3 linked regions of the Caenorhabditis elegans genome follow. The protein of the gene in region 1 purifies or fractionates together with the protein of each later gene. This does not show direct contact. Each region holds a gene or a part of one and is shown in the gene's direction. Other genes may lie near its edges. The genes, in order: dnc-3, arp-6 and arp-11.

What was found.
Region 2: the proteins of dnc-3 (region 1) and arp-6 purify together in Caenorhabditis elegans (affinity purification with mass spectrometry, with the first as the bait; one study listed by BioGRID). This does not show direct contact.
Region 3: the proteins of dnc-3 (region 1) and arp-11 purify together in Caenorhabditis elegans (affinity purification with mass spectrometry, with the first as the bait; one study listed by BioGRID). This does not show direct contact.

The regions. Positions count from the first base shown.
Region 1 is NC_003280.10:3,551,652-3,555,144, forward strand, and holds dnc-3 (DyNactin Complex component), read left to right. Parts: upstream 1-2,128; 5' UTR 2,129-2,184; coding exon 2,185-2,256; intron 2,257-2,306; coding exon 2,307-2,429; intron 2,430-2,474; coding exon 2,475-2,585; intron 2,586-2,637; coding exon 2,638-2,738; intron 2,739-2,787; coding exon 2,788-2,896; 3' UTR 2,897-2,966; downstream 2,967-3,493. Other genes in the region: W10G11.19 (DUF4105 domain-containing protein), read left to right, coding at 1-72, 119-259, 322-537, 1,119-1,485, 1,529-1,744.
Region 2 is NC_003280.10:8,035,592-8,039,346, reverse strand, and holds arp-6 (Actin-like protein C08B11.6), read left to right. Parts: upstream 1-2,000; coding exon 2,001-2,077; intron 2,078-2,124; coding exon 2,125-2,562; intron 2,563-2,604; coding exon 2,605-2,760; intron 2,761-2,805; coding exon 2,806-2,967; intron 2,968-3,012; coding exon 3,013-3,436; 3' UTR 3,437-3,470; downstream 3,471-3,755. Other genes in the region: Ubiquitin carboxyl-terminal hydrolase ubh-4, read left to right, coding at 1-49, 93-743, 787-967; C08B11.9 (uncharacterized protein), read left to right, coding at 1,203-1,251, 1,294-1,805; sap-49 (Splicing factor 3B subunit 4), read left to right, coding at 3,580-3,755.
Region 3 is NC_003282.8:7,900,422-7,904,176, reverse strand, and holds the start of arp-11 (Actin-related protein 10), read left to right. Parts: upstream 1-1,905; coding exon 1,906-2,093; intron 2,094-2,136; coding exon 2,137-2,347; intron 2,348-2,507; coding exon 2,508-2,672; intron 2,673-2,721; coding exon 2,722-2,900; intron 2,901-3,484; coding exon 3,485-3,755. Other genes in the region: cbpl-1 (Cortactin-binding protein-2 N-terminal domain-containing protein), read right to left, coding at 1-156, 347-400.

The DNA.
Region 1 (3,493 bases):
GGAGGCTATTTCTCACTTCCTAGATGCTCTGAAGCGTAGCAAACAGATTGGTTATGTGGTGGACTGTAAAAAGTAAGCTTTCCTCTGGAAAATTTGCTGAAAAATCTGAAAATTCCAGTGAAAACTCTGGTTGTTGGGCTCACGGAGTCGATGAGAATCCGACGCTTTTTTCGTTCAAACTAGATAATTTTGACGATCATCTCGAGGCAAGATTCCGTGGAAAATTCCAGAAGGATCAGGTTTATGACTGGATTTTGACGTAAGATTTTGACGTGGCCGTGGGGGATAAAACTCGGCCACCAAATGAAATTTCTCTTCCAGAACCAAGCAACCCGAGGTAAAACTGCTCAACGAGGAGCTGGTGCCGAGCTACCGTAGTGGAATGGTCCCAGGATTTGATCGCGCGCGGGAAACCGTAACAATTCTGTTTATTGACACGAAAAAGTCGCAGATTTGGAGGAATTACGCGAAATTTGCGCGGGAAAATCACGGGCGGTTCCATTTGACAGCGCTGGTGTCCGAGGAGGTCAAGAAATGGTAAGAATTGGTGGAGAATGTTGTTCAAAATTTGATTTTCCGTAACTTTCCGGGTCCTACCGCGAACGAAAATTTCCAACTACAGTACCCCACATGGTAGCTCACGTGGTGCCAGGCTGTCTCATTGCGGTTTGATCTACAAAAATCCAGGAATTTTTCCCCTAGCAAAGAGTGACGTCAGCACGTTCTTAACCATGGGAAATCAATTGAGAACTCTGCGTCTCTTCTCCCGCATTTTTTGTAGATCTACGTAGATCAAAAAGGAGACACTCTGACACCACGTGGTAGCTGAGAAGTTTTGTTCGTGCCAAGACCCAAAGCATGGATTTGATCGAAAAAATATTATGCCAGTCCGAGTTTTTAGTCGTAATCGCAACTTTTTGGGTCCTGCCGCGAACGTAACTTTCCAACTACAGTACCCCCACACGATAGCCAAATTCGTTCGTGCCAAGACCCAAAACTGGGATTTTGGCTAAAAATGTATTTTTTTTCAGAAGAAATTGAATTTTAACGAGAAAAATTGGTTTTTTTTTCCTGGAAATTTTCGAATTTTCCAAATTTCAAATTTCCCGATCTTTCAGGTCCATCTACCCTGCCTTCATCACGATGAAGCCCTATGACCCCTTCGTAAAAGCCTTCACACTTCATAAGGATCTCAACTGGAATCGAATGGTCGACTACTTGGAGGACGGTGTACACCCGGGCTGTCATCAATTGTCAAGTCCCTCCGATTTCCTCTTCGCCACCGGAACCCAGAAGCCTCTGGTCGTATTTTTCGACCCACTGGACTCTAAAAATTCTGAAGGATTCAAAAAATCTGCTGCCGAGCAGCAAAGCGGCGATCGAATTGCTCATTTTTCGGCTGTAACCGGTTTCGACCTGTTTGGACTGTATGTGATGAGCGTTTTTAATGTGAATTCCCCGAGCTATATTGTCATTCGGCGACAGGTACTTTCACTTTTTAACTTCAAATTAAATTCATTTTTTCCAGGAAAAAGGATGGTGCATCCACACAAAACCCGCTGAAAACGACAATTTCACTGGAATTCTTTCATGGGTTCGGAATTTGGAGCCAGTTCACTGCCAGGAGCTCATTGAAAACTTCAAGTTCCCAATTGCTCGTTTGAATCTGTTGGAGCGGTATGATGACGTGGAAGAGCTAGAGAAAGGGTTCACGGCCGTGGAGTGGACTAGGGACGAGCTATAGGAATTTTAAAAAATTGCTCTGTTGTAATTTGGTAAAAATAAATAATTTAATTTGTTTTAATTTGATGTTTTACAGATTAAAATTGCATTAAAAATTTATATTTAAGAATTAATTAATTTTCCCTGCTCGTCATTTTAAATGCCAGTTCCGCAGGTACACCGCCACGGTAGATTGCGGACAAAAGAATCCTTTTTTTAGCTGTTTTAAGGAAATAACAAGAAATTTCGATGAAAATTTTCAGTTTTAAGCTTTCATACTAAGATTTAATAAAAAACAGACAATTTTAATGTAGAATTGCAGGCGATATCCTAGTTTCCACACTGAAAATCACTTGCGCGTCAAATAAAATGCAAAGTACGCATTGACACCGTCACGTCCCATTGCACACAATTTCTCAATTATTATTTTTCTTTTTCGATCTTTTGATTTTAAATCTGAAAATGGACATGATCGAGCTTGAAAAAAAGATTTCTGAAATTGAAGAAGTTCTAGGAATCGATGATCTCACCACGGTAAGCTTTTTTCGCGCAATTTCCAATAAAAATGCCAATTTTTTTTCCAGAAAACATCAATTCCCTCTCAAATCGAGGCTCTTCAATCCAAATTACGAGATGATTGTAAGGCGAATCTGCTAATGTCGATTCCCATTCAAAAGCTGGAGCATTTGAGCAAAATCGCCACGGAAGTACGTTGGAAAAACTGAATTTTCTGTGAAAAATCGATTTTTCAGACATCCGGCCCATATGGATCGCTGACTGACAAAATAGAGTCTGTAAAATACGCGGAAAAGCTGATCAATGAACGAGCGGAACGGATTAAACAATTTTCAGATGCTCTTGAGGTCTTTTTTTGCGATTTTTCAGAGAAAATTGAAGAAAAATAAAAAATTTCAGCCCTGCCTCGACCAGGAGCTCTTCTCAAAAGTGGCTGCACTTCAACCGGAGCTTGACGCTGAAATCGAAAAATACGAGAAGGCCCTGGAGGACTGGACCAAGTAATTGCAGTTTTTAAAGCCTAAAAATCTGAAATTTCCAAAATTTCAGAACCTACGGAGAATTCCAGACACTTGTCGCCGAGCGGTCAATGATCAACCAAAAAATCACCGAAAAAGTGCTGGATCTGCAGACGAAAATCAACGCAAAAGCTAAATAATTAAATATTTTTTCGCTGGATTGTAATTTATTTTTATTTTCTTTGTTTTCCTGTAAAAATTGAAATTCTACAAGTTTTTTGTTAGACAGAAAGACGAATTGGCAGCAATTATCGACTTTTCGAAGTGGGCAAGATGATGACGTTGTTTCGGGAAATTGGAAAATTTGTTTTTTTCCAATTTTTTTCCTCGCAAGAAAAATAGTTTTCTCTCCATTTGAATTACTAGATTTTTCAAAAAATTTGAACTTTTCTCCGTGGAGCGCGCTTGCATTATTAGATTTTACGAAAATTTGAATATTTCTCAGTGGAGCGCACTTACACCTCACTTTTTTCCAAAATTTTTAGTAATTCTCGATGGAGCGCGCTTGCAGCAAGGTAATTTTCAAAATTTTCCCAAAATCTCTATGTAGCGCAGTTGTAATCCAAAATTACAGCTAATTACCAGTAGAGCGCGCTTGCATCAGTATTTTTAAAATTTTTTTGAAATCAATTATCAGTGGAGCGTACTTGCATCCCAATAAATTTCATATAGTGCCAGGCTGTCCCATTACAGTTTGATCTACAAAAAATTCGGGAATCAGCACGTTCTTAACCATG
Region 2 (3,755 bases), 4.5 Mb from region 1:
TTCAAGTCGAGGAGCTGTATTCGCTCGATGATGATAAAGCGATGACACGGTATTTTTTTCTGAAATTGAAAATAAAACAATTAATTTTTTAGACCAACTTACGGACTCATTTTTTTGTTCAAGTGGCGCCAGGGAGATGAAACAACTGGGATTCCTAGTGACAAGCAAAACATCTTTTTTGCTCATCAAACAATTCAAAACGCTTGTGCTACTCAAGCTCTCATCAACTTGCTTATGAACGTGGAAGATACCGATGTGAAGCTTGGAAATATCCTGAATCAGTACAAAGAATTCGCGATTGACTTGGATCCGAATACTCGCGGTCATTGTCTTTCGAACAGCGAGGAAATTCGCACTGTTCACAATAGTTTTTCTCGTCAGACTCTTTTCGAACTTGATATCAAAGGCGGAGAATCGGAGGATAACTATCACTTTGTGACATACGTGCCAATCGGTAATAAGGTCTACGAGCTGGATGGGCTTCGTGAGCTCCCACTTGAGGTTGCTGAGTTCCAAAAAGAACAAGACTGGATTGAGGCAATTAAGCCCGTAATTCAACAAAGAATGCAAAAATACAGCGAAGGGGAGATCACGTTCAATTTGATGGCACTTGTTCCAAACCGCAAACAGAAACTGCAGGAGATGATGGAGAACTTGATTCAAGCAAATGAAAATAATGAGCTTGAAGAGCAGATAGCCGATCTCAATAAAGCCATTGCTGATGAGGATTACAAAATGGAAATGTAAGAAATGCTCTAATTTAAATATTTTATGTGTGAAATTCAGGTACCGCAAGGAAAACAATCGCCGACGTCACAATTATACTCCGTTCGTAATTGAATTGATGAAGATTCTTGCAAAGGAAGGAAAATTGGTTGGACTTGTCGACAACGCTTATCAAGCCGCTAAAGAAAAATCCAAGCTGAATACAGACATAACCAAGCTTGAATTGAAGAGAAAACAATAGATATTGCATTCTAAACGTACTTGAATTATTTATTTGTATTCTCATAATTTAAATGGGTTCTTGATTGTTTTTGTTTTAATATCAGACATTAAATTTATTAGTTCAATAATTTGTTTTTATATTTGCATCATTTCTGGTCTCAATCCGTCCAGCCTATTTTCGATTGCATGTGTTTTTAAAGGCCTGTCACAGCTTAATACAAGATTAGTTACAGATGGAGATAAATGAAGTAGAAATGGCGAGTGATATGCCTCTTGTCCAGCTTCCACAAAGAGGAGAAAGAAGTACGAACAAATTTTGATATCAATAGTAATTAAATTTTTCAGTAAACGTTCCTCTCGTGCAGTCCCGAAGTGAAGATCAGCGCCTTGTAACCAGTGCTCGTCAAACTGACAAAATTGATGCCGATGATTTGGTCGCGCTGGCAAATCAGTTAAACAGTGCCCGCCAATTGGTGAAAGGAAGAGCTTGCGATCGTCTGAAGCAAATTGCCGATCAAATGGAACAATTACATATGGCAGCTCGTGCAGTTCTCGAAGATGCTCAACGCGATGAGCATTTGCATAACGTTCCCTGTAACATGGAGAAGCAACCTGGCCGAATTTACCATTTGTACCAGAAGCAAGGAAGCATGAACAAATATTTCTCTATGTTGGCTCCTAACGAGTGGGGATACCAAGAGAAGAAAGAAGAATATCTTGGATCATATCGGTTGGAATATGACAGAAGCTGGACTCCTGTAGGAGAAATGGATCGTAAAGACGAAGAAGTCGCTCGTCTTCAGCAACTTCTTCAACGGGAAGGACCGGTCGCCTTACGTGGGAATCCTAATTTTTAAGAAGCATATGTAACATTCGTAAAAACGCATAGATTTTCAATTCAATTCCAATAACCGGGTTGTTTCTTGTGTGCCTGATACTTTCATGAATATTGTGATAATTCGAAATTATTTGTTATCTTATAGGTTACCACCCTACTCTTAATTTTTTATCTGGAAAAATCACACTACTCATTCTGTGAAATAATTTTGTAGATGAGTTTAACAACAATTATTTTTGACAATGGTGGCCATAATATGAAGATAGGTACGATAGACTCAGAGTCCCCTAGGTTTGTTTCTAATAAGAAAAATATCAATATAATTTAAATATTTTCAGATTAGTTCCAAACAGTATTGTGAAAGCGAAACATGAAAAGAAGCGGGTTTTTGTTGCACACGAGCAAGAAGAATGTTCGGACAAGTTTTCGCTATTCTATGTGCGACCAATTGAAAGAGGATATGTGGTGAATTGGGATACACAACAGCAAATCTGGGAGAAAACGTTCGGATCTATGGATGTGGAGGCGTCTACTTCTCGAATTGCACTCACAGATAATAACTATCTAATCCCAGCTCTTCCTGATGTCTCTAGTGAAATATTGTTTGATTATTTCGGCTTCACAGAGGTACACAAAACGTCTGCTTCGACTTTGGTGGCAAAACATTCAAATAAAATCAACAACGAAAAGTGTGCAGTTGTTGTGGATTCCGGGTTTTCATGGACTACGGTAGCTTCATTTGTGAATGGAATGCTTATTCAGGATAGTGTTATAAGGTTGGAAAGTGTTTTCAAACTACAATTAGCTTTATTTTTAAGGATCGATGTTGGTGGAAAAGCGTTAACAAATAAATTGAAGGACTGGGTATCTTACCGACAATTGAATGTTAGCGAAGAAACATACGTTATCAACGAATGTAAAGAGGATCTTTGCTTCGTCTCACAAAATTTTGATGAGAGCATGAAAGAGGCTAGGTAGGTATAAAAATGAAGAATACTAATTATATTGTTTTTATTCAGGAATCGATTTCAAGAAAATACAACAATGAAACGATATATTATGCCGGATTTCCACTCGACATTCCGAGGTGTAGTGAAAGACGTTAAAGAGCCACACGATCCACAAATTCCTTCAATTCATTTGGGAGTTGAGAGATTCGCCATTCCGGAAATCTTATTCAAGTTAGTAATTTCGGCAAAAAGTATAAACTATTTTATCTGTTGCAGTCCCTCGGATATTGATATTGATCAATGTGGTGTCGCAGAAGCTGTTATCGAGAGTATTTGTCAATGTCCAGAAGCATTACGGCCTGCTCTGGCAGAAAATATCATCGTGATTGGCGGATCGTCGTGCTTCCCAGGATTTCGTGAACGCCTGGAACGAGAAGTTCGATCAATGCTGCCAGCAGAATATGGATTGAATGTTTCAAATGACGTAATAAACCCACAAACTCATTCCTGGCATTGTGGTCAAGAGCTTCTCACTGCTTCTAAAGTTCCATGGATCAACCGAAAAGATTGGGACGAACGAGGAGACTCGTTGGAGTTCTCTAACTTTTTCCAGACTCTTGTGCAATCCGATGAACTGAAGGGAACTCGTAATTTCGATGATCAGAGGGAGAAATCCCCAAAGGAAGATGAAGATTTCTGAACTGATCTCTTATCACTTTAAAATAAACATGTTTTATATATATATATGCCAAAATATTTTTTTTTGAGATCAGAGGTTTATTTTCCTTTGTTGGACTTATTTTTTTTCATGTGCTGTTCATTTTTTAAAAATCAATATTTCAGATGTCAGCAGGGCCGATAGTGGAAAGAAACCAAGATGCAACAATTTACGTTGGTGGATTAGACGAGAAGGTGTCAGAGTCCATCCTATGGGAACTTATGGTACAAGCAGGACCTGTTGTCAGTGTCAATATGCCGAAAGATCGAGTAACTGCCAATCATCAAGGTTTCGGATTTGT
Region 3 (3,755 bases), on another chromosome or scaffold:
CAGATGATCAATGACATCTTCTCTTGCTTGAACTTCACCTTCCATGAACGAGAGCAATTTCATCAGTTCATCACTTGAGAAATCGTTAACCCCCTGCTCTTCGGGAAGATTGTCATATTCGGGCTGAACCTTTCGAATAGACGGAAGTACCAATTTCTGAACATTGTAGAAGTTTTTGGTTAATTACTGATAAATTATATATTTTCAAAACTTTGGGTGTGGCTCAATCACTCGGAAAATGAGCGTTAATTTGCAATCTTAGAATAATTTGAGACTGTGAATATTAAAAATTAGAGTATACAAACTTTGCTTACAATTTTATGTTCCTTGTGGAATTAAAACTCACTTTTGATGTTGATTGAAAAGTTGGATCAAAACTGTCATCGAGTAAATTTGGCATCGTGAAAGAAACACGGCAAACGCCGTGAAGCAGAAGTCTGGAAAAATTATTTTTGAAACGTTTTCGAAATTTCTGGAGAAAAAAACACGAAGTCGATGCAGAAGAAGAAAAAGCAGACGTTGAACGTGGATAAACTGAAGAACTAGAGACCGAGGGATATAGAGAAAGGGATTCAAGTGTGTAACTTCGTGTGCTTCTATTTCACAGTGATTGCTTGAAGAGGTGGAGACGCAGACGAAATGTTGTCATTCCCTATGCCTTGCGACCGGGCTCTCACATGTCGAGAGCAGGGCTCTACTGGCTCCGCTCCAAGTGATGACACTTGGTTCGTTTTGAACGATATCTATTGCAAGGAACTTTTATGTTAAGAGAGAAGATCCGTTCGAATAACGATATAGCAAAAAGTTCAAATGAACTTTGTAAAGGTGACCTACACAATCAGATGTTATCGAGAAAAATCTAAACATCTTGTTCAGCCATTTTAACTGGGTTGTTTTCACCATGAAAAAACACGGTGGTGATGCTGAGCTTAAGTACACTGTTTGTTGAAGATGACCAGCAACGAAAAAAGCAAACAAGGCGGAGGAGAATGTTTGCCAGAGTCTGGTAGTTTTTCTAGTAAGAATCCATAATTGCAAAAAAGGAAATCATATCCCAAATAGTTGAATATTGAAAGACGCAAATTTTATATCTCCAAAATTTAGGATTCCTAAACGAGTCAAACATTTTTTCTATTTAGCCTTCCAGATATTGAAAATAATAAACAGGAATTTTCCTCAAATCTGGATGAAGATCGATGGTTATTTTGAAAAATTAGTACGCAAAAAGAGATTTCGAGTCAGAGAAATGGATACAACTAATCTAAACCTGCAATCGATGATGTCTCTCTCATTAAAAATCAAAGTTAACCTATTTTAGTTCACTATCAAGCAACAAATCCTTTAATAAAAAGATTACTGTAATTACGCGAAATGATAAAAACTTATAAAAAGTGATAAAATAATTATTTAAACTGGCGGTAAACGAGAAAGCGATAAGAAAATGTCTGGTGACGTCACTCAGAGTCGCAAAAACTTTGCGCGTAATATACTGCGCGCGGTACGCAATAGAAGATACATGGTGTTTGCACACGTATACGGTAAGCGCTCAATTGAGAACGACTTTTTTGTTTTAATGTTTTATCAAGATTTTACTTTAATTAGACGAATCAATCATTATTTATTGTGCCACATTCGTAATTACTCCTTTCTTTTTAAGATTAAATCATCTTAAAATCAATATTGTAGTGTTCAAACTGGCATCAACTGCTCAATCAACGTTGGAGTCGCTGAAGGCGGCTCGACGGAGTTCGTCGGGAGTTTCAAATCAATCAATCTCGCTTTCATCGACAACTTTATCTCAAGCTATCAGTTCAATCGATAATGGAAAAAGTGCAGTTGTGGTTGAGATTGGAAGCAAGTTAACGAAGTTTGAGTTCCACTGTTCTTAAATTTCATAATTTTACTATGTTTAGAATTGGATGTGCCGGAGAAATAACACCTCGACATATTATCCGAACAGAATACGTCGATGATGAAGGAAAATTGATAACTTCTGATGAATTATTAGCTCTAAACAATCGGAAGACTGCTACAAAGTCCACCGAGTACTACGAAGAAATTCTCTATAAATTCTTGAGGATTGTATTTTTAAAGTGAGCCTCTCTGGCCTCGATTAACTTAAAGCTTGGATTTTAGAGTTTTGGCTCCCACTGACCGTCCAGTGATATTTGTGGAAAGCATTTTCATGTCAGAATCCCTCCGCAATACCATCACCAAAATTGTTGTCGAAAAGATTCGTTGCAAATCTCTAATGTTCATGCCATCTCATGTTTGTGCCACATTTCCATTCAATACTCAAAATGCTCTCGTTGTCGATATTGGACATTCAGAATGTATCGCAGTTCCAGTTAGTTCTTATTTTTAATTTTTGAAGAGCATAAGAAAATATTTCTAGAAAAAAATCAACAAAAGAGTAATTTTTTACCATCTACAATTTTAAACAGTTAAATTTTTTTTAGAAATTCAAATTTCTATTTATGATTTATTGCAAATTGTATTTTTTTCAGATTATCGAAGGTGTGACAATGCTGAATGAGTTCGAATCAGCTCGCTCGATTTGTGGCCGACAACTTGAACGAAGAGTTCGGGAGCAAATGGAGAAATATGGTCAAATTGCAGAATTAAATGGAGAGAGACGAGCAATTACAGAAAACGATTGGCAAGATATTGATGTAAATATCTAAAACTTGAAAAAACTCAATAACTGAAGATATGTTTTAGGCGTGTAAACTTATCGAAACGCTTAGTTTATCACTCATTTGTCTGGATAAGGAACGGGCCGAAAATTGGACAAAATGGGAAGCGTCAGAAGAAGGAGAAAAACCGGATATTGAGACACTTTGCAAAGAAAGACTATTTCCGAATAATGGAAAAATATTTGTAGTTCCTCCAGTTGTATTGTAAGTTTTAAAAGTTTTTTCTTACCAGAAGTTTAAAAATTGAATGTGTTGGCAAACGTTATCAAATATCATGGAAAACTGCAATTTTTTGTTTAAAAAATGTTTATTCACAGACAAAAAGCGACATAAATTATGTTCGTACCATTTTTTCGTGAAAACTAAAGCAATGTCGCAATTTAGAGCCTCCCTCCTGACTGTTTTAATATAAATATTTTAGAACAAAAATTGGAAAAATTACTTTTGATCGACGACATCCAAAAAAGCTACGCTTCGCTTGCTTCGCTTTTTGCGTTGCTTCGCTTTTTGACTGAATAAACAAAATCCAACATTTTTTGAAAAGTTTTCCTATTATATTTCGTCATATTAGCAACAGAGAAGTTTCTAAAATTACTTATTTCTCGTAGTTAAAAAGTAAATTTTTTTAAAAACTCCTTCTATGATATCATGAAATCTGCCACCTACAGTAATCCAAACAATTTTTATTATGCTCCCTATATTATTCAAAAAAAAAAACAGAAAAAATTAAATTCTGAACTTCGATTGTAAGAGAAGCCGCGTATTACCTTTAGTACTTATTATTTCAGCGAAACAAGTACTGAAATCTTCTTCAATGAGAATCTCAATCCTACATCATTCGATCTTTCCCTTCCGAAACTTCTTCACAAGCTGGTATCAAAATGCCCGATTGATCTCCGGAAAAAGCTATTCCCAAATATACTTTTAACTGGTGGAGTCTCTACAATTCCTGGTCTCATGAAACGTTTGGAACAAGAAATTCAAGTTATCGACGAGAAAAACAATTCCAAAATTGCCGTAATTGTAAAATTCTATCAATTTTCGGAAATCAAAAACACG